Linked DNA regions of Drosophila melanogaster. Changing the gene in region 1 together with any one later gene gives a genetic interaction. Each region holds a gene or a part of one and is shown on either strand. Other genes may lie near its edges.

The links.
Region 2: of ems (region 1) and acj6, changing one suppresses a phenotype caused by changing the other (phenotypic suppression), as found in Drosophila melanogaster (one study listed by BioGRID).

What each region holds. Positions count from the first base shown.
Region 1 is NT_033777.3:13,896,245-13,911,909, reverse strand, and holds ems (empty spiracles), read right to left. Parts: upstream 10,058-15,665; 5' UTR 9,732-10,057; coding exon 8,597-9,731; intron 8,307-8,596; coding exon 7,957-8,306; 3' UTR 7,290-7,956; downstream 1-7,289. UniProt on the Drosophila melanogaster protein: Acts as a homeotic selector gene controlling antennal and mandibular segment identity.
Region 2 is NC_004354.4:15,370,500-15,386,147, forward strand, and holds the start of acj6 (abnormal chemosensory jump 6), read right to left. Parts: upstream 8,566-15,648; 5' UTR 7,816-8,565; coding exon 7,690-7,815; intron 7,095-7,689; coding exon 7,062-7,094; intron 1,710-7,061; coding exon 1,653-1,709; intron 1,190-1,652; coding exon 1,013-1,189; intron 1-1,012. Other genes in the region: CG9164 (uncharacterized protein), read right to left, coding at 10,845-11,167, 11,303-11,671, 11,730-11,856, 12,047-12,181. UniProt on the Drosophila melanogaster protein: Modulates gene transcription; simultaneously generates both a specific activator and an inhibitor of gene transcription, capable of modulating two distinct regulatory programs during neural development. Has a role in olfactory behavior.

The DNA.
Region 1 (15,665 bases):
AAGAAAGCAAGAAGAAAGAAGTTTCCAATGAATCGCTGTTTTTTGGGCGCATAAACAAAATAAATATTTTGTTTAAATTTAACCGTTGACAAGCGTTTCAAATGTCAGTAGAGTATAGACTGGCATAATTGGCTCACATTTATCTCCGGTCAAAATGTTGTTTATTTATTTTGGAAATTGCTGCCAGCGATTTACCTGAGCCGAGAGAGTCACTGGGATTTTCCCAGCTCCCTTTTCCCGGCCCTCACCTTTCCCCTTCGGCTGGATTAGATCCGAGCTGCAGGCACTTGTGGCTTAACTTTTGTCAAATCCTGTTAGAGATCAACGATCCTCCGGTTTTCATCTGGGTCCTGGCCTGAATGAATGTCAGTGCAACTTAATCCTCGACTCGACTCGACTCGGCTCGACTCCTTGGGCTCGGTTCGCTGACACGCCTACTGAAATCTGCATACTCCGCATTGACTTATGCCTTTTGTCACAAGTCAGAAAGAGGGAAGACTGGATTTCGGGGCCTCACAATTCATATTTAATAAGCCCATAATGGCAATAATCATGATTTTACAGCGAACTTGGACCATTGCATCTCCGGAGCAGCGGGATGCCAGTAAAGGGTTTCGTTTTCGCAAAGGAACCCATCCCAACTGACACAATGAGTCGGGAATGGGAGGAACTAGCTTGAAAACTGGGAGGCGTTGCGCACATTTAATTAATACGTTTGCTTGTTTTCCAGCTCGCCTTTGGGCGCAGAAGATCGGTGGTTGGTTGGTGGGCGTTCCGGCAGATGATTAGATTTTCTTCCAAAATTCCAGCCAACGATGCTGTATGTCATTTGCGGTTCCCTCTGCATTGTTCCATATTTTGAGCGTTGCCTGCAAAGCTTCGTTTAGTCCGGCAATCCTTTAGGGCTCTTCGCTCAGCGGGGTCGGGGCGTTTTATTCCGATTCAGATTCCGACTAACATTTCAACGGAAGCCCCGGGCTGGCATAAATGCCGTGTTTTGGCAGGCAACTGTTTATAACAATCGACTCTGAAAAGGGAATGCAGGGGGACTAAAACAAAAGACTTAGGCAACGAACTTGCTGCTTGCCGAGTGAAACAAACGAATATGAAATGTTTATGGCCCGATTATGCAGCGGGGGTGTACAAAGATGTACTATCTTGGAATATTGTGCCAAAGTTGGGTATTTTCAGCTGTTTGCTCAGGTGGATTTGGAAATATAAGAGCTTCGTACCTTTAAAGGTGTATTATAGTTTAAATGATATATATACTTTGAAAATTGCCTGAATATCATTTCATGTTTAATATATTATTTGATTAAATCCAGTATCCATCTTTGTGTAATCATTTAATCTTTTTGCCGCGTTTTTTCTGCAGCTCTTGTTTGTACACTTAATATGCTTGTTAATTTTATGACTTTTTGTATCCTCCCATAGAAATAATTATGTTCTTCACTCAGTAAATATTTCTATCTTTTCTGGATCATTATCCCTTACATTTCTCGGTAATTAGATTGATCTCTTGGCTGATTCTCAATGTTCCCACCATAAAAAGGACCAAAGGATCATAGAGTCACTAGCCCGCAACAATGGCAACAACTATCTGTGCTAACGGTTCTTCTGCTCGTAAAGAAATCAACGGAACAATCGGTCCAAGGACCACAACAATTGCTGGTCTCAAGTGCCCCCCGTCCGGTCCGAAATCACGCAAAATCGTAGGACGAACAATGAGTCTCGACCCCGGGCATTTGTTTAATTTCCAATTAAAAAGAGCAAACACCAAAAGAAGTTGAGATGCATCTATACTTACGCCCACGCACAGCAGGTTAAATCGCCTGGCATTATCTTCATTGACATCACGACAAGGGATTCCAACTGACAACTGTTTTAGGTTGGCCAGTCCACAAAAAAAAAAAGAAGAAGAAAGGCAAAAAGGATCGACCAACACTTGGCTGACCAGTTGGACTGGGTATTGTGCGACCCCTGTTGAAATGTCCAGGGCAATCGAATGAGGTTTTCCTTCCACGCTGCATTTGGCGTTTAGAGCGTTTCCCGGAAAATGCCACTTGTCAATAAGGACCTTATGCTGGCCATACCTGTTATCTAAATTACGCTAGGCAAAACAAAAACAGCAGTTGCCGTTACGGTGATAAATAGAAGCCAAGTGGCCAAGAAAAAGAGGGAACCCAGCGCCGAGAACCCGAAACGAACCCTAGACAATCCTGTTTGCCAGGGGTGGGCCTTGTCTAATGTTTTAATTTGATTTTAAAACGATGTTAATCTAATATCCGTGGAAAATGTCAAAATAAAGCAGCACTCCCTCACCCTCTGCGTCTGATTAATTAGAAATGGTAATAGAACCTGGTCCCCAAGAGGTACATCTAATTGAAATGCACTTGCCGTTGCTGCCTGACTTCGATTTCAATGAATTTTCCACTTTATTACGAAATACGCTGTCAAAATTGTATTGGGAATCGTTTTGGGTGTGCTCAGCTCACTATCCAATAATCTACGGGCATTATGCTGACAATATTATTTTCCAACGAATTTGAATTTTCAGCCGCAACAGCAGCTCGACTGGAATGCCATCAAACATCGGACGACGGACATCAACATCGTCATCAACATCAGGGACGCACTCATTTGTTTTGTTCGATACTTTTTTGTGGGTTCGTTCTGCTTCTTTCCTCGATTCGGGGCGTGAATACCACAAATTTATATTTAATTGTTTGATTGCCTTGGCTGCATAATTTTTCAATATTTTCATCGTCTGTTTGCGTGTGTGTGACAAATGTTAATTCATTAATATTTGGGCATACGACAGACCTGACCTAACCCCCAAAAGTGTGAATAGATGAAGCTCCGAGTGTGGGTGTTTCGATTCACTGCCAGTAGCCAACTAAGTGACGAATTACCTGTCTATGCATTAAAGTCTCTTTAGCACAGGTGGATTATTAACTGCAGAAGGCAATGTGTATATTATGAAGAAGAAGGTAAATTATTAGAATAATCAGATATCAGAAAAATAATACAAGTTTAGGTTTTGTTTTGAATTGATAAATGTGTACGTACAAATAGCTGCTTAAGTCTTATGTCACAGTTGCTTATAAAAATTGGTCTGAAAATAATGAAGCCAACAATTACAGGGCGTGTTAATGTTTTTGTTTACCTAAAAAAGCTGCTAATAAGATCAGTGCACTTAATCATCGAAACTAAACCTATAATACGCTTCCCGTGGCAGTAATTGCTTCGCAGGAAGTACCTGATTCAATTATAGAAAACCACTAACTGGATGGGGGCATATCGGACAGTAGATTCCCCATTGGGAGGTTCTCATGGCTGCCAACTAGATGGAAATCGCTGGAGCGGTCTGTAATTTAAACGAATTCACATCGCTTCAATTATGCACATTTGTTGGGCAATTTTCATAATAAATATTCTAATTGGCTTTTAATTATACGAAAAGCGTTTCGTGTTCGAGTCCGGTAAATTGACTAATTGCCGCTTGTAATTGCAATATATTAGATGACGCCTCATTGGCCCGGACCACCGAGCACTCCGATAAGCTACACTATACTACAAAGCCATGTATACCTTACATTGAGCCACATGGTGTAGAACTAGAACCCATATGCAGGCCCCAAATGGCAAACCCATAATTAGCCAGACCAACTTGAGGCTGGCACGCAATCCGAGCATTTGTTGGCCTGTCAGGGCGGGGTTATACCTTTTGGGGAGGAGCGGTGCCATGGGTCCTACGAACATACACATTTGTATGTGGCCCCCTGATAGCTTCGAGTATAATTCAATAACGGCATCAGCGATTCAGTTGCGGTCGTCACTAATTGATTGTTTAACCAGCTAAATGTCCAAGGCGGGATTTTCTCCAGCGCTTGAATAATGCATTGCACTGCGGGCAGCGTGGAATGGCATTTATTTCGATGGTCAATCGCGGCACAGTGGGTTGATACTAAACTAAATATAATGTATAACAATTACAAAACGCTTGAACTGGAAATATATTCAATTTAATAAATATTATAAGAAACAAATTCTAATATTATTAAAAACTATAATTCTCAGTTCCCTTCTGACCAATTTAAACCACTGTATCGATCATTGAAATGCCAACAATCATACGCAGCGTGGGCGCTCCAGCTCAGCGAGCATAAAACAGTAACAACAGACATCAGGTTGTCATAAAGAGTGCATATTTATGCGGCTAATTCGAAATAAAACATAAAACTCACCAAATAATATTAAGCGACTCTCGACGAACCCAATAACTGAGTGGCAGAGAAACCGAGATGCATATCAACAATTAGGACGCCCCATGGAGTTGGCCACGAAATCGGGAATTGGTAATGGGCAACCGAGAATTGAGAAATTTGACGCTTTTACGATCTGGGGGAGGGGGCAGGGAGTCTGAGATTGGCAGCAGCAGCATAATGTCTCTCTTTGATATACCAAATTAAAGCATTCGATATTTGATCGGTAAGGCACTTTGCATATGAAAGAGACGGCGTCTGGCGCCAGAAATCCGTGATCTAACAGTCAAAAAAAACACCCGGAGAGCGAAGCATAATTGAGGCAATTAGAAAACATCAAAATATTGGACCCTGGCCGCAGAAAATTGTTAAATAAACAAGAGCCAAAACGAGACGTTGTTGCGGCTCTTAATTAAGCACTTGAGGGCCCAAATTCGAGTCAAATGTTTATTCTGTTTACCCCGGGACATGTCGAGCAGTTGGCAATGACACAGCGGATCTGGAGTGTATATCTTATATATCTTGTGTGGTTAAGGAGCGGGAGACGCCCACCGTCGGATCATTCAATTAAAACGCTTACGAATTATTATTACGACAAACAAAATGTCGAGGGTATGGAAAAGTGATGCCAATCTAGCCGAACCGCAGGAAGTGCCCGCCGAGGAATGAGAACAATCGTTCTGTAAATTACAAGCAATTGAAGTCGGCCGATCGAGATCAAGATCGAGTCGCAAGACTCCGAGGCAAAAGTGAATGACGGAAGTGGGGTTAACAAGCGTGGCGGCCCCAAAAAGTTCGTCGCCTAAGTCTTTCGTTAGACAAACGGACCGAACATGGACTTTAAAATTAATTACTTAATTTAACACAACAAGCGGCCGGCGACACCTTCGATGATGTCTGGTGTTTCGGGCGACAACGGAAAGCACTAAACAGTCGTTTCGTTTGGGGCCAAAAACCTGTTGGCCTGGCCAGCACATCGCAACGCATCTCGGAACGATCCTTGGCCGGAATGAGCGGGCTTAACAGATTAGTTAGCATATCCCATATCAGGGTAATTATTGTTAAATGCGATAACGATCTTGTACAGCGCTGACATTTATTTATTTTCCTTAATTTCGCCGTATTAATCTTCCAGGAAACACACATTAAACAGAACACCGAGATATGGCACGTCCCGATCTTGAGCCCTGCACTCCAAAGGATGGCCATTAAGGGGCCAAGGGGTTCTGGTTGGGGTTGGGGTCTCGATCTTGGCTTGACAATTTGCATTATGCCGGCGATCGATCAGCGATCGGTGAAATCCAACAGGCAATAATGAGCAATGAATGGAGATGGGAGGGTAGGCAAAGAGAAACTCAAACTCAAGCCGCAACTCAATTAAAATCCGAAATAACTTCGAGACGAGACACAGCTAATTTAGCCAAATTGGATTACTTAATAAACTTTATGGGATAAGTAACAATAACAACGGGCAGCCAGTTGTGGTGCGTGGTGCTGGCCATAAAGTGAATGCGGCGTTGTTGTTGGCATTATTATTACTATATCTCTTTTTTTGGGGCGCGCCGCATAACAAACCTTTTGAGGCATTCGAAAATCAACAACAACAAAAGCGAAGCCACGAGGCAAAACAAGTTGTACAAACATATGTATGCTCGATATATGTATAACATCATCAACAGCCAACAACTTACCAAATTGTGTTTTAATTTCCGAGAATTATCAGCAAGGGATTTCATTCCGATTTCGGCTTTCGTTTTCTCTCCGTCCCTTTGCGCCAGTGTGTGTTTTGTTCTACAGAAACATTTGAAGAGTGATATTGGATAAAGGAGGCCAGCAGATAAGCCCCCAATCCCATATGCAGGGGGCGTGCCCCAGCCCCATTATTAATTACAGTTCCCGCTCGCGATGGGCCGTGTATCTTGAATCTTGAATTGGAATCTCGAAGTTTCCATCAAAGGTGCGTGTTTGCTAAGCAAACAAGACTTGCCATTAGCTGAAAGGTTTATGGCTAAAGCCGCGATTTCGATCACCGATGAAACATATAATTTGCCCACTCTGATTTACGACTATTGCAATTGTAAGCTTTGTGTTTGCAATAGATAGGTTCCCCCAAAAACCCCCCCTGATTTCAATACTGAAGGGGGGGGACCTTTGACAGAGTGCCACAATTTAGTGCTGTTAACAGCTAGTAATTAGACTCGTTATGTCCGTTAATTAGCCATATCAGCCGGACCAATCTAGTTTGCAGTTTGCCCATTGCAATTAGCCACTGCATATTCATTAGGCCACATTCGATAGCCGATTTCAGTTAGCTGATAGCCGATTTGGCGATAATGAAAACTGCGCTTATATACCGCCACAGTTTTCGCATAAATTTGTGGTTCAATAATCATAAATTTGGCTTTTAGATCATTAGCACACCTCGAGTGGCTTGTTAACCAGTTTCCAAAGCCACCCCAACCCCCAAAAGCCCCCGTTCAGCATCCACCCCCGCCCCTTTGATCTCACACGAACTGCGCTCAATTAAATTCTACAATAAAACACGATTTGCATTTTAAATTGTGCAATTAAAATGCTTATGAAATCTATAAGAAATAACGATCGCTAAATGCATTTTATAGCCGCCTCCTTCAGCTATCCCGCTCTTTTCAGTCGCGGCCGCACCCCCTCAATCCCCTTTTCCAGCGCACCTGTCACCATTTCCAGTGGACAGAAACAGCAACAACAATGTTAAATGTCACACGCTAATTAATTGACGGCGCATAATTTTTTACTCTGTCACACAGTGGGACGAACTCAATTAAAAAGGGGCGGAGATGCCAAGGCTTAAACAAGAAAAAATAAACTAAAGTAAAATATTGTTGAAGGAAAGTAATAAAGCTGAATGAGAAGTTAAAGTTCACACCCATAACTCAAAACATACCAATATTGTTTAAATTATAAATAAATTATCTAGTATTCTGGATAATAAGTGGTTGCCCCCAACACATAAATCAATCAAACATTTCTCTTTCGATTTCTTTTCATAATGAATATTTTATATTTTATATGATCATATTCGTTTGTGTTTCTTACAATCGTATTAGCTTAGGATGTAGTTACTAGCAACTAGGGCTTTATATTAGACGGCTTTAAATAATATCCAGCTGCAGTTGAGGGACTCTAGAGGTTCGTGCTTAAGACTAAACATAAATAAATGCTAGATCGTCATACAATATACAAGAATTATACAATAGCTAGTGGATCGAGTACGATTTGTTTTGAAGAATTCACTAATTAAAAGTAATGTCATGAATATTTACAGGCTTAAGTCATAAAATTTGTACAGTTATAGTTGGTGGTGTCTAGCCTAGGTTTATTTTTTCAGTGTTTCTTTTTTTGCATTTGATATTTGGGAAAGAAAGGAAACAACTTGCATTCTTTGAGCTCTACTCAACCTCGAAACTTCGCAAGGATTTGGCACGGATCTTGAGAGAGAAGTGTGGATGGAGAGAAAGGGTCTCTAATACTTTCCTATCTATATACACTTAGCCTAACGCCTTGGGATCGCTCTAAGAATATATCACAACAAAACAAACTATGTTACTCTCGCCGAGATTCGACTGGGAACCCTCGATAACTGGAACTGGACTGCATTCGCCAGGATAAGGAACTCACGGACCGCCGCAGGACTATCTCCTGGCCGCTTCTCTCAGTGGCTGGCGTCCAGCTCGTGCTCCTCATCGCTGGGACACTCGTCCATCTCCATGTCGATCAGTTCGTCGTCGTCCTCGTCGCCGCTGCCGTTGTGCATATTCCGCTGCGATCCTCCCTCGCCGCCCTTCTCATCCTCCTGCTGCATCCGCTTGTGCTTGGTGCGTCGGTTCTGGAACCACACCTTCACCTGCGTCTCGGACAGATTGAGGTTTTGGGCCAGGGCCTTTCTCTCTGCCCCCACTACGTACTGGTTGCTCTCAAAGGCGTGCTCCAGCTTCAGCAGCTGCGACGGCGAGAAGGCGGTGCGGATGCGTTTCGGTTTGCGGAACGGGGGCACCAGGAAACCTTGAAAGAGGCAAAGAAGAAAGGGTTTCGGTTAGTCATCGGTATTTAAGATCATAACTCACAGCAATAAATTAGCAATGACAATATAATGCAATTATAAGAGACTCATCAAAACTAATTTAAAACATATTAGCATCTTTCATTTCTTATTACATTTATGAAGGTTTAGAATTATTACTTTAAAGAAATTTCTCATTTTTTGGCTTCAATTTGGACTCCAAGAACTATTTTTTTCCCTAAATCTCCTTTTTTTGTTTCGCATATAAAGAATCATTCCAAAAGATACTTACTTCCAGGGAATCGGTGTGGGAAGATCCTTCCATGGCGGCTGAGCAGCCAGGGGTACAGCTGATAGCTATCCCTGGCCATGCCTGGATTGGGCATAAACTGGGCGGCATGGGGCGGCAGGCCGGCGGCAGCAGCGGCGGCGGCCGCTGGACCAAGCACATGACCCGCTTGCAGGGCGGCGGCCATCTGGAACTGGGCAGCGGCAATGAGATGCGGATTGTGCTGAGGCGGCAGCTCCGGCGGAGCGTTGATGTAGGGCGGCAGCGCCTTGATGTCCGGCAAGCCGGGCTGACCCTGCGGCATCGGTGGTCCTCCGGGTCCCATGGGAAAGGGGCGAACGAGTCCAGCGGGCGGCATGCCCGGCATCATCATGGGTCCAGCTCCTCCGGGATGCATCATGGCGGGCTTTGGATAATTCGGGGGCGGCTGCTGCTGTTGCTGCTGTGGCGGTGTGGCATGTGGACTGCTGATCAGCAGAGTGGGCGAAGACGAGGGCTGCGAGGACTGGGGGCTCACGGATTTGGGAGGCGTGTGCGGTGGCTGGATGCGCTGGGCGGGATTCTCGGCCTGCTCCATGGCAGGTGGTGCAGGTGAGCGTTCCCGCTTGAGGGAGACGGCCATCTGGGGCTGCTCCGTTTCGGGGGAGAGGCGTGTCTGCAGCGGACTCAGGCCGCTGGCCATGGCGGCATTGTGGTGCAGCCTCTGCAGCAGCTCCTGAATGTCCTGGTGGCTCTTGGGTGTGCCCGGATGTTGCTGCTGCATGAGGAGGTGCTGGTGGAGCACATGTTGCTGCGCAGGCGATAGATGCGGATGCGGATGTGGTGCCTGCAAATGCTGCTGCTGAGCATGCGGATGCGGATAGGGCAGTCCGTGGGCAGGAGGAGCCATCAGATGGTGCGGGGGCGAGCCTGGGATCAAGGTGAGTGTGGCTGGTGGCGTTTGGGGCGGCGAACCGGGCACATTGCGCTCGCCGGGCGGCGGACTCTGGGGACCGGATAGATCGGGCGTCGAATTGCCGCCGGCGGTGCTGACATCATTGCCCACAATGGACTCGATGCTGAAACCGATCTTCTGCTTTGGTGTGGGCATCATGACGGCTGCAGCGGCGGTGGGAACCGGCGGAATCATCTTAGTCATAAATACGGCGGTTAGTTCGGCTATGTTGGCGGCTTTTTTTTCGAGGGTTTAAGCACGGTTTTCTGTTTAATCTAATCTGTTCTGTTTGTCTAATCCTCTGGGAAGTCCTTATTTGTAACTCTCTATGTTTCGTTGATTTTCTCACACTAAGCGACGCATTGGAAACGCTTTCATATATACGTTTAGTTACTTTATTAATCACACACACACTCGGGTTGTCAAGACTTGTGCTCTACGGCGATCGACGCGCTCGTTTTTCTTATTTTTTGTGTCGGAAGACGGAGAATATAGACGTGTGCTCTCGACGACGTTCGATGTCTGAATAAATCCGGTAAGCCCGGCAACACCACCAAGTGTGCGCTACTCGAAGAGAGCTGAGCTGCGGCGAGTCTTCTCTCTTCGCCAGTACAGGCCAAACCAGTTTATCGGGCCAGAGCGGGAGGCACTGTGCTCGGTGTAGTATGGCCGTCTTCTTTGCGCGCGCCTTGTGGATTTTATCTACCCTGCAGATATGGCCTAGCTGCGAAGGAGCGAGTGAAATGGCTGCTTTTCGAGGGGCGGGTCCAGTTCGGTGCGCTGCCTTTACCGAATTTTCTGCATATGGCTTCCGTTCAAACAGCCACCACTATACGACTTTGTTGTTGCTCTTGGCCTTTGTGTAATTTGGCTTAAACTGCCATTCATAGTTCTTGTTTTTGCGGTTGCATTTCTGGGCCGGAACGAGCGCTAAATGGAAATCTAATGCCAGGTGGGCAAAATGTCTCTGTTTGCGGACTCTGGCCAAATTTGCAGGAAGTTCGAAAAGGGTTTTCGAGGCTTACAGAGGATGTGCGTTTTAAATATTTCCCTTGCTCAGGGGGATTTTTGTTGTGCAAATTTATAGTTTAGCAAGGATTTGTTAGACGCTCTTTATATATTTCTGCATAAAACTAAAGATTAAGGAATATAAGTATTTTGTTAATGGTGTTTTTAAAGTTCGTAAACCCCATTCAACAACATGGCGTAAAATTTATAATTTAAAATACTTATTTAATTTATGATATTATATATTAACTTTCCCTATTTTAAAACGTCCCGGTTTTCGTACAGCTGACAATCCAGTCCACATTAGCAATTCCACACCACGGATGCACTTCAAACTTGCTGTTTCCATAAATCATCTACGAAACTTGATCGGGACAGTTTTATGAAATGTGCTACCGGGTTTATTTTTCGCTACGATTTAAATGTTAATTTTCAGGCATTACATTTTTTTTTTGGCACACGACAAAGTTTGCATAATTTATGTAGTGTCCGAATCGCAGTTCCAAATCAAAATCAGAGCAGGTTCATCAATTGTCGGGACGTGCCAAATGTCTCACTTCGTTTCCTCGGTCAACACTATAACATTTCCTATCAAACCCCAAGAGTTTTTCAAAAACAATGGAATAATATTCGGTAGTGCTATTTTCACACTCTGTTATCAGCCGGAGCCGTCAAATTCGTCGCCGGATTTCTGAGATTAATGGGCTAGGAATCGGCGAGAGCACAACAACAGCTTGTGCGATAGATTAAAATCTATCAAATTTTTATGGCCGCTAATTAAGCCACGCATATTTACCCATAGCTTTCGGTTCGAATCGACGCAAGGCATAAACAACTTTCGAGTCCATTAAAGCGTAATTATGTTGACTAATGGATTTTGATTACAAGGCGAAATGCTGTCGAAAGTTCAGCGATTTTTAGCTGAGTCGGTTTCATTTGCGGTCTAATCTGCAAAACGTGTGTGTAGCTAATTCGATTTGAAACTCGGCATCTGAGCTTTAGTTTTGATTTTGTGAAAGCTTCATTATAAGTAAAAAAAGTATTGGTCGAAATGATAAATATTAAATATAAATATCAAAAATATTAAATTAAATAAATATTTAGAAGTAATACTCTGATATCTATTTAATCAATTGTGGTTAGAAGAATCCTTGCAATCAGACGGCCAACATTTCGACGAATCAAGCATAATTGAGTTGAAAGAAAACGCAATTTACCTTGTATTTTCGGTAATTTCACACGCCCACTGAGCTGAGTACCTCACCGCAGGAGCTCCAGGACTCGAAGGACCTGCAGCCAGCACAATCGTGCTGCTAATGAGCGAATAAAGATATCCTCTGGCCGCAGGACCAGCGGCAGTCAAGTGGCCAACTGGAGGACTCGGCAGTTGATGACCCCCCGCCAGAGTTCGCAAAAAGGAATGAAAACCGTAAAAAATGCAGCCAACAAAGGGCACAAATGCATTTATTAGATGGAAATAAAGAGGAACACAATGCAGCAGCCCGAAAGGTGTCAAAATCAACAATTTTCAGCCTGCAAACAATTCCACAGAAACCGAGGCACAGCGTGATGCAATTTCACCTATTCGAACCTCCCTCCATCCAGAAAATAAATCTACAGTATGCCAGTCCAATTCCCGATGCCAGTTCAGCTGAAAATTGGATGGAGAAAAAAAAAAACAGCAGTTTCACTTTTTGTCTTTTCGTCGATTTTGTTTTTTTTTCTGTTTATCTCGCTGGGAAAACAATGGAAAACGTGGCAAATTTTCCTTTGTTCGATTCGATGGCCAGAAATTGTTGAGTAGCAACAAAACAAGGCAACAGAAGACGAGAAAAATTGACTTTAATGATGATGAGTTGGCGTTTAGAGTGTGCGTTTTGGATTCATTTGAATCGAGTGTGTTTTCAGACCCATTTTCTCGGTTTTTCCAATATATATACTTTGTGTTATTGGCACAAACTCGGGGAAAACTCGATGGGGGAGCGAAGCGTTTAAATGTAATTAATTTCTGGCAACTCGATTGAGGGACAAGCGCCATCGCTAACTGCTTTTCCAAGAATACCATCGATCGATTTCACAGCTCTGCGTTATTTTCATATTTTACCCAAAACGATCTGCCGATAATTTGGGCGCTTGTAAATCCACGCGACCCAAGAAATTATGATGGATCGGCATCGAATTTTGTGGCCACATTTTCACGCGTTTTTCTTGTAGGGAATGGGAAAATTTGACTTGGTAGCAACTGACCGACGTTTTCGGGGGCAGGGGGGCGTGTCAGCCCTAAGAACATCAAACAACTGTACAGTGATGAGCCTGGCGTTTTCCAGGAAAACGAATTCCAGAGGAGCCCAAATCCCATTTGGAGAGAATAGCCCAGAAAAGGGTGCATCAGACCGAAGGATCGGATCATTTGGAATTTCAGGCACGACATATCGGAGCCAATCAAGCTGGACGTATTTCGAGTTACCACAAAGCCGTAAAATCATATTAAAACACAATTTCTGGTCCAGCACCGCGGTAGCGGGCCAAGATCATAAAACATTTATATCTAATCCTTGACAATCATAAAAAATACACAAACGACACGATGCAGCGCAGGGAAAATCTGACAAGGGCCAAGTGCCAGCGGCGAAAAAGAAATGTTTAAAATGTCGGAAAAGTGCTCGAGAAAAATAAGAAAGGGCGGGCGGCGTGGAGAAAGCGAATAAACAGTAGTCAGGGAAATGTCATAAAAATGTCTGATTTCTCCTTGAAATTCCCGCAGCCCCAAAACTATGCACTGGGAAAAATGCAATAGGCATTAAGAGAATATTTCAAGAATACTTGGTTAAAATTAGAACAGTTTTATATTTTATATTCGTATAAACAAAAGAACTCTTTTGATTTATGTACTGTGATTGTACTTACACTTATTTCTCACACTGTATCGCCTCCGCTTAGTACGTGTGTGCAAAACAGTGGAAAATAGTGGAAAACCATTCCAAATTCGAGGCATTTTTATGACACTTTCCGTAACGGGCATTCGAGCATGGCCAGCAGAAGGACAACCAGACAATCCTTTTGCGGGCATAAAAAATATGGTAGTTGCCGAAATAAAATCAACGTAATGTTTATGACTTTTTACCGGCGCTGCCCCACGTACCCCCCACTCCCCTGCTCGTGATGGCCCTCCTCCTTTGACCTGGCTGGTTGACACTTTCGTTTTGGTAATATTTTGGCTGACAGGCACTTTTGTTCGTGTGTCATTATCGTTTTGCCCAGATCCGGATGGTCGAGCGGGATTTATGAGCAGGCGACATGGTACGATTAGATCAAAACGATACAAGGACCTTTGTACAGTGAGGTCTTGAGATTTAGTTGTTATAGATAGTGGAGAAAATGCAACAAACTATTTACCAACGTGTATGTTCCCAAGATAGTATACACACCTAGAACTATATGTATGATGATAGTGCATTGTAAATATCTAAACTGATTAATATATATTTTCTATGGTCTAAATACCCATAAAAATTCTACCAAGACACATTATCATCTTTATCGTTAATTTCTCCCGAGCTAAGTAGATTCCGAGCTCGAATTCCGTGGCACCAGCTAAACGAATACAAAATCCCCCGGATCATCTTATAACCGCTTGAGTAACCCCCAGAGACCTTTTGAGCAAGTACCGCCCTCTTGGCATTCAACACCTCGCCATCCACATCACACATATGCCTCCCCACCCATCAAAATGATGGCCAAACCAATTACTCTTCTCGTCCTTATCGCAGATCTTTGCCCCTCTCCGCACACAGCGAAAACATAAATATACTCCCCCGAAATTTTCCCCCTGGCAAACACTTTATAAATTACACGCCCACACTTGTCGACTCCACCAGCAGTTGAATAGCCCCCCCAACCCCTGGCCATATCGAAACTAATGATGACAGCCAATAAAAAATTCCAACAAATGTGTAAATTTGTAGAAAAGCATGAAAGCCAAAAAACGAAAATTTCATAAAAATTTAAATTTTCCAAAAGAGCGGAGTGAAAAGCGGAAAGGGAGCAATGGCATATACGTAGGGATAGGATATGCGGACATGGTCGACTGACTGGCGAAGTAGGGATCGAGAGGGAAATTGAGGGAAAGGGAAAGGGAGGGTTTGGGAACAACAAATGAAATAAATTTGTGCATGTTACTCGAAAATGTCGCTGCCAAGCGAAAGCCAACAAAAAAAAAAAATAGGAAATGGTTATGGATCTGGGGAGTGGGAAATGGGAAATGGTAGATGGCAATTGGCAATTGGCAGGGGTTGTCCTGGAGAGGGGTTGGATGTACCTACATGGAGAACTTGGCGGGGTGTCCTGGCAGATGACTCAATTTACACGCAACGAGCTCTGTAAATTGCGCCTCATTTCGTTCGCGATTCTTCCTCCGGCAGTTGGGCGAATATCAAATGTAAGGAGGAAAATGAAATGTATATCCCAGATTTCCTTCCTCCAAAAAGCATGCCATTCATTCAGCATCCCCGGACTGCCTGCCCTCCGAAAATTCAGCTACAAATTGCCAAACCTAATAAAAGCGAAATTAGCTGAAGAAAGGAGAGATAACGAGGGTTGATTTGTGAGTTGTGCTTTAGCAAAGTGGATGCCGAGGGGGTAAGTTCATTTTGCGGATGTGCACCATAAATTAAAATAAATTAATTGGCCATGACTCTAAGTTGTCTAGCTATCAGAGTGTTCTACATTTTTGCTTCGTATCTTAAATGTGCTAGTAAATCGATAATATGATCTTAGACCTTCAATTTATTGAAGTATCTAGAAAATGAAGTAAGGTAGATATAAGGTATATGATTGCTATCGATTTAGTTATATTACCAATGGTTGTTAGAGACTTGGAACATCATATTCATATTATAATTGATCTATTTTTTAACGAATGCGGTTCTCATAACATTGAAATGTTTGTGCTTGCTTTGAGGCCATTCCCCTCCCAACGTCCCATAATTGTGATGAGATTGTGTCGCCGTTTTTCCCAGTCCCTTTTCCCACTGGGAACCCAGTTACCAAGAGTCTGGGCCATGAGCGTTGGTCGTTAAACAAATGAATTGCCATAAGCGCCGGCTGATTGCGATATCGTCCTAGATGGGC
Region 2 (15,648 bases), on another chromosome or scaffold:
AACAGTAGCCACAGTAGCAACCTGAGCAACATGCGACATGAGCACCAGCCGAACTATGAACAACTAGCTGCAGGCTCGGTGGAAAAACACTAAACTGGACAGCAAAAAAAATAGAATCGAGGAAGGAAGGAAGGAAAACAGGTTGCTGGTGTAATTTGATTACAATCAAGTTCTAATAGAGCAACAGCAAAGCGGCAACCACCACTTGGGCCCTAACCCCCTTTTTTGGGAAGGAAGAGGCGAGTACTTTCGGAACGCCCAGTTCGAGTTGAAGTACAATACAATTAACGACACGAATCATGATGTGCTTACCTGGCAAACGACCGTCACGTGGCACGTTCCCAGAAGGCTTACACGTCACAATTTTAATTTTATTAAAGAAACATTTCAAATTAACCGCACACACACACACACACACACACAAGCACAGTGTACGTGTGTGCATGTATCTGTAGATAGACATGCGTGTGACCATCGAAAACGGAAATTGGAGTTCTCGGCTGTCCCAATGCGACAGTTCCGTTTCCCTTTGCCACTTTGCCCCTTTTCCCCTTTTCCCCTTTCCCCCTTGCCCGCTCTTCATTTCCGATTCCGATTTCGATTCCGTTTCCCTGCCATTAATAACCCGCCTCATCAGGGAGTGACTTTCATAATTTGCAGCATTCTAGACATTGGCTAATACCCCATGTCCGACCTGTACAAAAACCACAGGAAGGGGCGTCTTGGTTAAGTTCAATCAACCGTAGGACTACCACTTCCGGCGCAGAATTGGTCTCGAATACTTTGCTTTTGAACAACAGATAGTCTTAGCTGTCTTGGCTAATCAAAGCCAGAAACGAGGGGTTTTCACATGGTTCTAATAACTTTTAAAGTGATCTATGGAAGAAACATTTTAACTAAATCTATGGTGTACTTCAATGTAAATTGAATTTACATAGTTTTTGGTTTTAAAACTAAGACTAAACAATTGCCCCAAACTAAATAGCATTTTCGTAGTTGGACTTGGACTCACCTGCAACGGACGCTGGGGAGGCCCACTCATGGAGTGATGATGGTACATGACGTCGTGCTTAATTTGGGAGGGCATTTGGCTATGTACATGCTGGGCTTGGTGCTTCTGGATGTCGACGGCGGCCAGGGCCTCCGCTCTGCTGAGGATTCCATCGTTGATGCCCGCGAAGATATCACCCTGTAGTGGAGACAAGATCGCAGATCGTAGTGGTCAGTAGGTTGGAAGTTAGCAGGTTTAGGAATATATGCATATAAGGGATTGAGGATGCAGGGATATACATGTATGTACGATATACAGTTGGTCCACAGGCAAGAACACAATCGAAACAATAGGTAATATATTTATATGCTTATAAATATATATATATAATATGTTTATATAGAGAACAAATCACCCAAATCCAATTCGAATTTTCGGTTAAACAAAGACAAACTTCGATGTCAGATACACGTTGGCATACATATAGATATACTGAGAGATATATTTATAAGTCGGCGTCGGCGAGAGAGATCAAATATCGAATATCGAATATCAAATGTCGAATGTATATCAAAATGAATTTCAGAAAAGGAAAATCAATCAAGTCAAGACAAACATGGTTTACTGGTTTACTTTTGTTGTGTTTTCAATATTAACTTACATTCTGACGTGCTGACCACGAATTGCATAATAGGGAAGCATCTTCTAACAAACGACTCTGAAAAGACGGAACAAACATCGATAGTATTGTGTATAGATTCAATTTGCCACTGCAGCAATTATATGTGTTTTTTTATTTTTTTTTGTTTATTGTGATAAGAGAGGCAAAAGAGTATCTGCAGATTTCTGGTTAACCTGAACCTTAAAGCCTTTAACCAGCTGGCTTTCTATCGATTTTTTTTCGGCCATTCCCCACTAGCGGGTTTTTAAATAAATAATATCAAAAGTTTTTCGGTTCCCGTGCCCGATGGTTCATCTTCATGTCGCCGCCGTCGTCGTCGTCGTCTTTATTATTCCAGTCTTATCGATTTTATATTTTATATATAGATATATATATATATTTGTATATATACATAGACATGTATGTATGTGTATCTGTGCTATACATGTGCATGCAGCAAACTCCTTGTGTACACGAAACTCGCACGAATTTTTCAGTTAATCAATTATTTAGATGCGCACAAAACTTCAAAACGCCGCACGACGAAAACGAAAGACGACAACAAAGTTGGGGGTTTTCGCAGTGTGAATGAGACGGAACCCACATGGCCAAAAGCCAAAGGCATCGCTCACGTTTTGCGGCCCATTTTCAGGCGAAAGGCGTAATGCGAAGGACCAGCCAGTTACACAGAGAGAAAAAGGATCTCACACAAGTTACAAATGGAAATCGAAATAGTTTAAGGCCACTGTAAGCATTCTAGGACTAGATGAATTATACTCCGAATAAGAATTTCAAAGCGGCAAGGAGAATTAAATTCGCTAAGTTAAATTAAATTAAAAACCAGAAGTTTAATTAATATTACTTATATTTTAAAAGTTAACGGTTTTGAAGGATCTTTTTAAGTTCGTACTGCAACGTTGACACATAATTTTGTTACTCTGACATGCAATTCGAAAATAAAGTGTTGTGAAGTGCAATTTATAGCAGTGTAGTGCCGTCTCTGCACCCGTCTCCCTCACACCGCAGCCGGCTGTCTCCTTTTGGTCCACGAAGGACCGCAATAACCGGGCGGCGGCCATCGTAGAAATCAAAATGTTGTGCATTCCCAATGATGTCTTGGCCCATTCCTTGACCATCCAAACAGCCAGCCAGCCATCCGACCATGGTTGCTTACACTTGGTTAAAAAGGGGCGTCTTTGGAGAGGGGGCGTGGCACTTAGGGTGGCAGGGAGGTGGGAAGTGGGTGGTGGTGTGCAAATAATCCGACAGCGACAGTTTGTTTGCACTTGCAGGTGGACAGGGGCGCCAAAAAGGGGGTCGTGTTACCTTAATGGCCACATTTACACGTGCTCCCATTACAGGATGCCAAGGAAATGACAGACTTCTGGGGTCGAGACACAAAGGATCAGGGGAGAGCGAAAAAGAGAAAGTAGTTGGAATTGCACAGTAGCAATTATTTGTGCTAACTCGATTTTTCATCTGATATGCATGGCAAGTTTAAAAATGTCGCGACTAACAAAGTCTGTTCAAAAACATAAAAAGAATCATTTTAGAATTCAATTATGTCAGCTTACAGTTGTCAAAAATGTAGCTATTAAAGTTCTTTAAAATTTGTATTCATTAGTACATTTTTAAAGGGGATATATTTTTCAAAGGATTGTGCATATTCCATTTTAATAAATTGGAAGTTTTCGAGATATTTCCATTGGCTAGCTTTGAAACTAGGATTTGGATTTAGTATCATACCAACACATTTGAAGTTTTTTAGAACCACCTTTCATTGTATTAAATTTGTAGTTTAACTCTTTTAGTATATATGCACTAAATATTTATGACATTGTTTGGAAATTTCCTTCATTTTTCATGGCTCCCAAACCGAAATCCTTGTTTAAGCCCAGTCAGGACGAGGCAATCCGGAACGGAAAGCCCTCCTGACCAGAATTCGCAACAGTTTGTTGGCCAATAAATTTTGGCACCGCAACGCAGCAGTGAATTAATTTATGAATTAATATGCGCAGTCATTCATCAAATGGTGCTGTCTCTCTTGCCCCCTCATTTTAGCCACGACCTAGGCCAGGATCCTGGCCAACGGTGGAGCGAGGGAGAGGGAAGACGATGGCCAGGACACTGTCTTGACCTGCTCACACACACACATACACACACACACATATTCTAGCGTACACATGGAGAAAGGGGTGGGGTGTTCGCACTGCAGCCTGACACTTGCACATAAATTCTTTATTAGTGTGAAAAATTAATCAAGTGAACTGTTTTTTTCCCTTTCGTCCTTTCTCCCTCTCTGTCTCGCACTTGTTTGTTTGTCTCATTTTTCTCTGCACGTGTGTCTCGGTGTCTTTACGTGCATATATGTGTGTGTATGTGCGATGCATGGGTGTGTGTGTGTGTGTGGCTTATATAAATAATTTTTTGTTTGTTGTTGTTTATTTTTGTGGGAATTTAATATTCATGATGTGTGTAAATAGATACGCATTGCTGAATGCTTAATTTTATCGATTGCGCTGCAAAACAAACCGCCAAAAATACTGGAGCAATTAAATGCGTATGAATTTAGATACTTTAAAACCAGCAGCTTTTTTAATGGCAGTAAGAAAGTTTAAAGATTACATATATCTTAGTATATGAATGTGTATTAATAACGAATATCTTAATATTAACTATTTCTGATATCAGCAGAATTCTAATTATTTTAACAAAGCATGCAAATGTGCATGTTTAAAGTATAATAATCTACTAATAATATTCCTTTAGATTTTTCTTAACTTTTTGGAATTTATGCACTTTCAACTGTAGATAACTAATATGATATAAAAAAAAAATTATATTGATATTGAGCAGAAATATCATTCAAAGATTATAGATAGTTGAAAATCACTTTTTTCTTAGGTTTTCAAAGAACTGACTTACTTATAGTTTTCCACCCATTTTAGCCGAGCTGCTAATCCTTCGATTTCACATATTTTAACTAGAAAATTCCTGTGCTTCCGTATTCTTTACTCCCCGTTTGATTTCGCCAATAATTTGTCAATTGTTTTCCAGGTGGTTTCGTTTTAATGCCGCTGCCATTTAATGCAGTTTATGAATATTTAAATCAAATTAACGCCGCCGCTGTCCGTTTAGCGCGCCAGCCAAACAATTCAAGTTAAATGACAAATGCCCAAAGCTCCCCTCTCAATTTCCAAAACGAGAGATACAAAAAAAAAACCAAAAAAAAAAAAAAAACACCCGCCCCTGAAAAACACACTTCTCTGGTTCTTTTGGTTTATAAACTTCGGTCCAGGGGATCGGCGACAAATTTCCATTTAATGGACTGCAAGGCGTTAAGTGTTTTTGTAACCAGCTAAAAAGGTGCTTCTTCAGCCGCATGTGCCACCCTCCTTCCCCCCGGACGACGATATTCCCCCTGCCTTCTCACCGACTACTTAATGCCCAGCCAAGGGTAGCATATAAATCCTATAAATCCGCCGCTTTGATCATTCAACTTGCTCCGTTGGCAGCTTTTCAAAAAGCCGAAAAGTGGCTAACGGCCAGTTGAAGGGGCATGGGCTACAAATCCGATAAGCAAATGTAGTTGTTGTCCCTTAAAGAAGGAAATATACTTGAAGTGATTTCCTCGTTTTTTTTTTTTTTTTTTTGCCGTTTAAAGTGCTTCTGTGTCGGATTAATTTAAGGACTTGCCGCGCGGGGTTGCAAAATGGGGTGGGAAAAAAGTTATTCACCTGTTCGGGCGCAATCAACCTGCCTGTTTTTTTTTTTTTTCAAACTAATTTTCGAGCATTCTTTTTCGCATTTGCTTATGCACTTTTTATGCCCTAGCAATGGGTGGTATAACTTTGGTGGAAAACCCAGACACTTTTGCCTCCATAAATTGCCTGCCACTTAGTTTTTATTGGTGTTTTTCAAGTTTAATTGAAATGGAAGAGACGCCTTTTTTCAATTTTAAAATTTTCATATTTTTGTGAAGTAACTTTATTTCGGGGTTATTTGTATTGCTCACTTCGTACCTATTTTAATATTTAATTCATAAGATTGGTTCTGCTATAAATGCAATTAAAAAAGAATTGCTCTAAAATTGATAGGTAATAAAAATAAAATAATATATAATTGAATATATGGAATATATAGAATCTTATGTTAGCTTGCATCTTTCCATTTGTATCTTTCGCGATTATATATCCTTAATCTGTAAACTACGCATTCATCAACGATGCTATAACCATATACACTCAGTCGTGGTCGTTTATTTTTTGCTCGTCTTTGTTCTTCTACCCCGGGCTTTTACATTTTTTATTTGTCTAGCTGGTCAGCAGCGCATACAAATAGTTGGTAAATAATTAATGCAAATGAATTTCAAATCACTTTTCAAGGTTACTGCACAACCCTTCCGTTTGGGTTCGCCTCGTGGGCAACGAAGGACCCACAAAATCCGGGAAACATTCAGGCGACATTCACGGCGTAATTAAGACGAATGCTTTGCCGGAAATAATCGCGAACGGAAAATGGGAAGTGCACTACTTGCAGTTGGCATTTCCGTTTCCTGTTCTCTTTTCTTATTTTTCTTCGCTTTTCGCCTTTGCACCTGTAATCCTGGACAGCAGACTGGCATCAATAAACCTGTCTGAGAACTGTCAGTAATAACCATTTAATGTCTGCCCATGTTCCCATTCAATTTTTAACTCAAAGCTCATAAATGATTCAGCAGGACACTGGGAAACTCCGAGACGCCTGCCAAATACTCCGAATTATTCGTTATTAATGCATTCAGACGGGAAAAACACGGCATCCTCAAGCTCTATATATCGCTCAACGGAGTGTTGGAAGTTCGTTATTCCCTTTATTCATTCAGCTGCCAAATGCAAATGAAAGTATGAATGGAGTCCATATTTGCGGGTCACAGGAACACATACTGGTTCTTTTAAAATGTGCAACTTTTCCCTTTCTATGATATTTAAATGGCAAACGAAGGATCTAGCTCCTGTGAAAAGTATTTTGCATATCGGAAATAGGAACCGGATTATAAGGGATAACTTATAAATGGTAATACTTGGAAAATCTGTCCTTGTCATTTCAGAATAACAATGGTTTTATGTTGTAATCGTAGTCGGATATACGAAATACTTATCAGTGAAGTGAAACGTATTTAAATGTTGTATAAGTTGATATACATTTTGATCTCTGATTTTAGCTATAAGAACTCACTTTGAAAGCCAAGTTATTAAAATAAAAAGCATGTACATAAAGTGTTCCACTTTGATGTAGCTCATAGGCTATAGGATGACTTGAAGTTCTGTGATCGTAGAAGGGTTTTGATTACATCCCACAGCAAATTCAATTTGCTTTGCAATGACTCGGAGGAACTCAAATGAAATCGTACTAATGTGAAAATCATACCTCGAGAGAATCGCAGGATGATGAGATGTGAATCTGTAGAAGGAAGGATATTCTGTGGTATAGTAAGTATCTTCTATGTTGTCAATATATACTTATTTAAGTGCTTAACGTCTTTAAATTACGCTTGTGTGTTCATAAAAAGCCCAATTATATTTACAATATGTGAGCAAATTAATAGAGTTAGGGCATCCTAAGATGGCATCATTTATGAATAGTAAAAACGTATTTATAGAGGTTGTATCTGCATAATAAATATAAAAACATATGATTTAATTTTATTATTAATGAGTTTTAGGATCTGGAAAAGAGGGAAATTGATACAGACTTTCTACAAAATATAATATTTAAAGCATGGACTCATAGCCTTAAACTACATACTAATATTCTCATTGAGATTCAATCCCAAGAATATGAAAGTTTGTAGTTTCCGATAATTTAGGGTAACTCATAGTGAAACCAATTAGATTTGCCAATAAGATCAAGAGAAGTCAAAACTGGACAGAAATTATCCTGAGAATTAAAGGATGCGCCCCCAAAACATTCTTGGGCTCCTATGCATCACATCGATGGAATCGAATGGATTGGTGGTTGGGTGAGGTTCTCCCGGCAAGTGCCGATGGATACTTACAGATGGATTTGGCATGCAGCGACGCATTTGCTCCGAACTTCGATAGGAGGGACTGTAGCGTCCTGGAAAACAACTGGGCGCTGACATTTTCATTTTATCCGTCGTCGAATACATCGACATTGTCATGCAGCCGCCGACGAAATCCTCCTCCAGCTTGAACGCCCTGGAGGCGTCGAAAGTGGTTGGCGAGTAAATTTTGAAGCACTTACTGGGACAGCCTTAGCACGTGTCCTGCATGCAGGACATCAACAAATATCAAATGCACTGGGCCCGCTCAACTGTGCCCTAAACTATATTTCTTTCTACTTATATATTGGCTTTGATTCTTCGATCGATCGTATGCACTGCACTTGTATTTATTCTCTTGGCCCGTTGGCTAGTTCATCAAATTGAATGGGTATTTTTTTTTTTTTGTGAAACGCGACAGAACTGAGAAAAAAATCACAGTAAAAAAATGTTGCCCAAGTAGTTACCGAATGCCGTCGGTTGATTATTTGTAATTTTCTTCTCTATTTCTTATTTATTTTTTGCTTGGCTTTTGGACTGCTAATCGAATTACGCGCACTCGAAACGGGTTAAACGGTTTGGCGTCGGCGTTCAAACTGTTTACCGTTTGCGAAGCGGAGCTGTTGGCCCGCGTTTTATACCGACTTCCGTTTCCTGTTTCTTGGACTTGCAATTTGATTGCGTGATATTACTCTGCTTCTGCTTCTGTACCGCTCGACCGTACCGCCGCGCTAAATGGGCATATATGTGTGTGTATTTATTTTTGCAGACGCCTTCAACAAACTATTTTTTCGAAATTTTCAAAAACGCCAGCGCACAGGACACAGGACACAGATTTCACAACTAGACAAGCGCGCGTGGTGTTGTGATAAAGAATTCTATGATGAGTTTCGCTAACTTCAGAGTTTATTTTCAATGGGGCGGACGACATGTTTTCATTATTTATCAGCGTGGGCGTGTCCTGCCCGCTGCCTCAAAATGGCAGCCGAATTCCTTATATAACGCCAGCGCGTGCCCTTTGATTGGTTGCCCGATGGGAGCGGGCAGCGCAGCCGGCGCCTTCGTTCAGCTGGAATTGGGCAGCAGTCGGTGTGTCTCTACCCGGCGAGTCCTTCCAAACTTGACGAAGCCAATGCCAGCGTCAGTGGTGCGACGTCTGCGCACTGCCACATTGGCTACCGCTGGGTGAGAGTGGGTGGTGGTAGTGGGCCGAACTGGGTAGCACCACCCCCTTAAGAGCCGGAGCCCTGGAAAAGCCGAGCATCGCAATGTCCAGCATATGGCACAAATTCTTTTTCCTCCACATTTCTGCCTCTCTATTTTCTCTCTCTCTTTTTCTGATTTTCAAAGGGGAGCCGGTGGGGGGCGGTGGCCGGTGGCCGGTGGGTGGTTTTCGGTGGGTGGCTTTCGCTGAGCCTCAACAAAAGGCACAAAACGCCAACGCGGCGGCGGACCAACAATGCCAAAACAGAAATGGGCGTACATGTCAGTGGGACTGATGGAGCAGGCGAGGGGAAAGGTATAGAGGGAGGAGGGGGAGGAGGTAGTTGGTTGGCGCAGGAGGAGGTGGGTCAGGGATAGCCAGCAGGTGGGTCAGTTCCGAAATGGGGGAGTGGCGATTCGAAGGCCTAGTTGTTGCAGTGCAACTGTTAAAAGCATGCAGCATGGCAAATCAGCTACAGGGTGTCCCGATCGCAACGCCAGGCTTACAGGGTGCCACCTTTAGAACCTACCTATTTATAAAATAAAAGACAGTTTTTAATATTTTAACTTTATCGCCCAAGATGAAGGCAACGCACATAGTCTAAGCCAAACCGCTAAACAAAACCCATTTATTATAAGTTTTATCTGGTTAAACATAAAAAATATACAATTTTATTATAATAATATGTTAAATTAGTTTAAAAATAATTGGTTTAATTAAACATTTATTTATTATTTGATAAGCATATTTCGAAGTAGAATCAATTAATGTTGTACACATTTTAAAACACACCAAACAAATTTATTAGGTTTTTTCAGACTTGTGCTTTATATTATTTAAGAAATTAAGATGCCAAGGAGTAAGTAAATAAAATATTTAATTATATTTTTCTATTTATTGATTTTATATTATTGTTTCTTTTAAAATTAGTTTAGTTATTGCTTCGTTTTTCAATCAAAATTTCGTCCTCCTGGCGCCATCTGTGGGTCATTCTTAATTGTTAAACGCGAACACTGAAAGGATTTTACGTATCCTTGCAGCTTATAAAAGCTTTTAAGGACTCTACGCGAAAAGCTTATAAAAGAAGACAAGGAGATGAAAGTTCAAAAAATATATAATTCAAGTTTTTTTATATTTCAAAACTTTTCCAAATGCAGCCAGGACACACGAAAAGCTATTTAAAGCCCATTTAAAATCCAACCCAGAAAATGACAAACTTAAATTTTTGGTTTTTTTTTTTAAATCCACTTCATTGTTTCTCATTCGATTTGTTTGGTTTGGTTTTCGTTTTTGTACAATTATCTAATAGGCTCCGTTGTTAATATTTCACAAGTTATTGTAGAGTCGTGTATAAAACTTTTTACAAGGATATTCTAATATGGGACCTCAACGTGACCAAAGGATAAGTTGCGGATGAGTTGAGCTTTGGTGAGCGATGAAGCACAACATGGCCTATAATGAATTTCATAAATTCGATCAGGAATCATAATACCTTGTTGTATAGCCTATACCAAATACGTACACACGAGTACGTACATATATCAACCTAAAGTTATGCGTCTCTATAAAATACCATATCTAATGTTTGAACATAACAAATTTGAACTAATGCGCCAAGCGAGCAGCAAACGATTGGGAACGATCTGGTTGGAAAAACGGGACTACATGCTGGGGCATTACTACCTATGTATGTATGTATGTATGTATGTGTTTGCTGACCCCCAGTGAGATCTATGGTCCTACGAGTCGTGATGATTTTGGGGATGATTTGAATACTCGGTTGCAATTCCTTTTGCTTTGTGCCTCGTTGTCGTTGCAATTGTGCTTTTCAGTTTTTCTCTGCTTTCAATTAGTTCCTTTTGGTGGTACGAATTCGATATCCCTTCTCGTTGCCCATAGTTCTTATAGATAAATGTAGATATAGATAGATAATCCTATGCATATTCTACGGCTCCTGACGCCCCAGCAATCCGTACACGATGCGCCGTCGATTCTGCACCTCCGCTCTCATGGATTCCGTATAGGGATCGAAAGATAACAGACGTTTCTTCCGCCGGAAGATGCCCTCCTTCCGCATAATGGCGCACCGCATCAGTTGCTCGTTGATGGGGAACTGCAGGAAGTCCAGAATGGAGCGCAGCTCCCGCTCCGTATGGTGGACCAGGTCGTCGTAGAACACCACCTTGATGCTGCCCGTGAAGTTGCGCGCCCAGCTGAGGTTCATCATCTCCCAGCCCTTGAGCTTGTTGCTCACGAATTGCTGCCAGTCTGTAATGAAAACCAAAGCAGTTAGCAATATATTAAAGCTCTCAGTCGCAAAGCCTAACAATAATAATAAGCCGAACAATGCATAACTGTCTTAATTGGACTTAATTGGTTTGTGCCCCCATATGCAAAACATACATTTTCCCTTGGTGCGCTTGTAGCGATCCGGTGATGCGAATCCGATGTGACCGCCACTCTGGCGATTGAACTCCGCGATGATCGCTTTCTCCGGATCGCGGACGAGAAGAATTGCTTTCGAGAAGGGCGCCCACGCTTTGCTGCCCCACTCGTGGGTCTTCACCAATAATACTGAACTGTTGCAGACGTTCTCCGCCGGAAAGCCGGTCTTCAGCAGGCCGTAGTCCTTGTAGATGCTGCCCGTCAGGATGCCGGTGGCCTGCTGGAGCAAGTACCTTAGCCACGTGTTACCGCTGCCAGGAAAACTGGCCAGGGCGGTCAACGCTGGCAGCGATTGCAGGGCAGCACTGACGTCACTGGGCAGGGCCGCTAAAGATGGTTACAGAATGGTTACAGAAAGGTCAAACTTCAGTGGGTCAGCACTCACTGTAGAAGTCGGACTTGTAATCCGCGTAGATTGGAAGATCTCGATTTATGTACTTGAGGTCGCGACACCAGCGTATCGTCATCTTGCGGCTGGGCATCGGAAACCGAGGACTATGAAAGCTGGGAAACTGTGAATACAAATTGAAAGAAATGTTACATTAAATGGGTATAAACATACATATTTCATCCCTCGCATCCTGCGACCGGAGTGCGTGCTATTTTTGTACATTTCGTTCCTTGGAATGTCACATGTCAGTCGGAAAATTGCCAAGCGGAAAATGGGAAAGCTGTCAGCTTGTTGTGCCACTCGTGACTCACCTCGGCGAAACGTTCGATGCGCGGTCTTTTGGGATGCGATCCGGGTATGTTGTTCATGGAGAGGAACAGGACGCCGCCGATGTAGATGATGATGGTTGCCGAGACACCGAAAAAGCGCCAGCCTTGTAGTGCCATATCGCCGTCTTTGCATTACTGAAATTGGGATTACCATCGGGCTTATTATTAGCTGCGGATTGCCGCTGGCATCGTTGAGCGTTGCTCGTTTATGTAAAAATAATTCAAATGAACATGTTCGCATTAATGAAGCCAATTATCTGTGTATTTTGGCCAGGAACAGGAGCGACAAGGAAGCGTGGAATTAATTTTTTTTTTCTTTCTTTTCTGTTTATTTTGTTATGACAACGAAACAAAAAACAGCAGACCAGGTGGCGGGGCGGTGCGGTGCGGCTAGCAGAAGCCGCTTGGCTAACATGACTGACTTGGCCGAAATGGGACCATTTGCCCACCTTCCCCGCCCAGAATGGAATCGGTAACCCCGACAACTCGCAAGTCCGTCAGTCAGACAGTTGGCGGCGGAAATGGGGCGCACTTCAGTTTGGGTTGCAAATGAAAATTGCGAAAAGAAAAGCCACCAAAAGGCAAGTTATTCCAGACCAGCGTAGCACAAGAATAGCGTACTCTCATTTAATTTTTGGGGTCGTCCTCGAATGATTGATAACTTGTCATTCGCGTTGATAAAGGTCTTCGATGACTAAACACCAATCATCATCATTCAGTCCAAAATCATTAGGCGTGTAGCTCTTCATCCAATATTAAAATTAGGAAAATATCAGATTACTATAGAATTGTTACTATTAATATTTCTAGACCTCTATTTAGTACTTATAAATAATGCATTAGGATGGCAAGTACCCTTTTAGACAATGATAAGAGATAATCTAGACCTGTTGAGATAAGAACCGACTTATTCTGCACAAAGCCTTAAATACCCCTTCAAAAAAAGGGCATTCGAGGGGGGGAATGAGAATAAGAGAATAAAAGCCTTGTCATGCCTTCAACGGAATTCCTTGAGCTGCATAAAACGCTCACGAAATCCGCAAAAGGACACCCCATCACACACACACACATGTTAGGCCCACATACGCACACACACACACACACACACAAACACATGTGAAAGACAAGCAGCTAAATGCGAAAATTTATGCAACAGCTGGGCAAAAAGGCGGCGAGGGGTGTTCGAAGGATACTCGTCCTTGGCCAAACGGATCCTTGAGCCACCGATAAACTCTGCCCCATCGGATGCCGGCGGAAAAGCCGCTGTATGATGATATAAGACATACGGCTCTCCACCCCGGAAGAGTGCGGAAGTCCAACGAACACCAGCGAACAGCCCCGGAACTTCTCGAGCCACCCAACCCTCTTCGAGGAAATCGCGGTGCTGAATGGTGGTGGGCCAAAAACTAGTTCAGCGCTGAAACAAGACGCAAACAAAAACAAAACCCAAGGCGGAAAAAAGGAGAGCGGCATAAAAAATAGGAAAGCTGAACGTGCACTGCGAGAAATTAGCGAGAGTGTAATTTCCATAGATTTTTCTGGCTAGCGCTTATGTACAAGTGATCAGGAATAGCTAATATAAGAAACAAAAAATTAGCTAGCTAATATGTTATTAATCATATATAATAGGTTTTATGTAGTTTTAGAACTACCATTCAGTTTTTATCACAAAATATGCAATGAGTTTGATGATTTTGATGATTTTATATTTTTTTCAGTGCATGCTAGAGACTATATAATGAAATGGCTCGGCGGCCGCAAAAGGGAAATAGAGAGATATCATAAAAAATGAGCACCACCAGCTTCGCGGCACCGATGTGCGGCGGTCAGAAGGGGTTGGCTGGCAATAATTTGATTGTTTTGCGGCATAAATCAGACAAAAGCCAAGCACATTAGCGCAGCCAACATAATGGGAGGAAATACAAAAAAAAAAAAAGGAAAAAACCCAGAGAACCCAAAACTCGGAAACAACGTTGGCATCGCAGGTGGAATCGGTGGCCCAGCCCACAGGTTTACATAATGCTTGCAAGAGCGGTTACCGAGCCCCCAAACGAATGTGGAAGGGGCAGTTCACCCAATGAATATGCATTTTGATTGCTAGACCAAAGCCAAACAAATGTGCAGAATAATCAAAAATAAACACAGCAATGGGGCAATGTGCGATGAAACAATGCATGCGATCAAATAAACAATGTTCTTGCGGCGAAAGAAATCGAATCGCTTATAGTACATTTCGCATATTTCTCATTTTTCAGAACCATTCGTTTGAATGTAAACAAATCATTTGCTGCGTTTGCTCAACAAATGTATAAATGTACATACATATGTATATGTAAGTTGTACTCACCGATACCGATTCCGGATCCTTGTCCCCCCTTTTACGCCGCTCACAACCACCCACCAACCGACCAACCGAACAGCGACAAACACGCCCAGAATTCGCAGCTACATGTCAAGCGAGAAATTCGCAATCACAATCGCAATTCAGGGAACTGCTGATAAGAATGGGGCAATCACAAGGCTCCAATTCGCGGCGATTCACTGTTTAAAAACGGCAAGAACACATTGGATACTAACAATAACACACACGCACACTTGCGCACACACTGGCAACAAAAAAAAAAATCACTGTGAAAAAAATAAACAAATCCGGTGGCAGGCAGCAGCAGCAGCAACAACAATCGCCAACACAGGGCCAAACAAACAAAAAACGGCAGCAAAACAAATGTGAACTATTTATTTGTGCCACTCGGCCCACACGTCGTATGCGCAATGCTTGGGTTCGCACTCGTTGGGTGTTGTGCGCTGTGTGCTCCGTGTGCTCCGTGTGTCCGAGAATTTCTGTTCGGCTCGGAGGAAGTGGAATCCACACGGTACAACCAGCAGCAGCAGAAGCAGCAGCGGTAGCAGCAGCAGAAGAAGAAGCGGCATCAGCATCGCACTGGGGGATGATTGAAAGCTTTTTTTATTGGATGGCGTTGCCACTGAAGCGGAAAAGCTCCAATAGTAACCCCTTTTTTTCAGCAGCTGGGCATGATTTGGGGTCTTTTTGAGGGCTCTGCGCCGGCGCCGATCTCAAATGAAGTTTCCAGAAATGCTCAGTAGGTGGCCATTGCCACAGTAACCCCCTTGAGGCAATATTTATTGATTAAATTTGCATTTATCGATTATGATGTATCGTATTTGAAAGAGGCTATTTGATTCTTGTATTACAATAAGCTAATATTCTTTTAAAATATAACCAAACAGCTGGGCAACACCTAAGCGGCTTTTTAACTTTGCGCAGGCGCCTATCTCTTTCATAGTTTCCATAAGTGCCCAATAGGTGGCTGATGATAGAGTTACCCATATAAAGTAAGCTTTATTGATTATATTTGCATTAGTCGTTAGCAATTGAAATGTTTTAAAATAAACTAAATATTATAATAGTTTTGAATACCGCCCATCCAAATAAAATTATTCCGTAGTTTTTTTACATTTTCTTCTTTTATTCAAATAAGTTCTGCTTGCCTCGATTTCTCATTCATATTTCACCTTGCCTGCTGGGGGGTTTAGCTTCACTTGCATCGGTTTTTCGTGGTTTC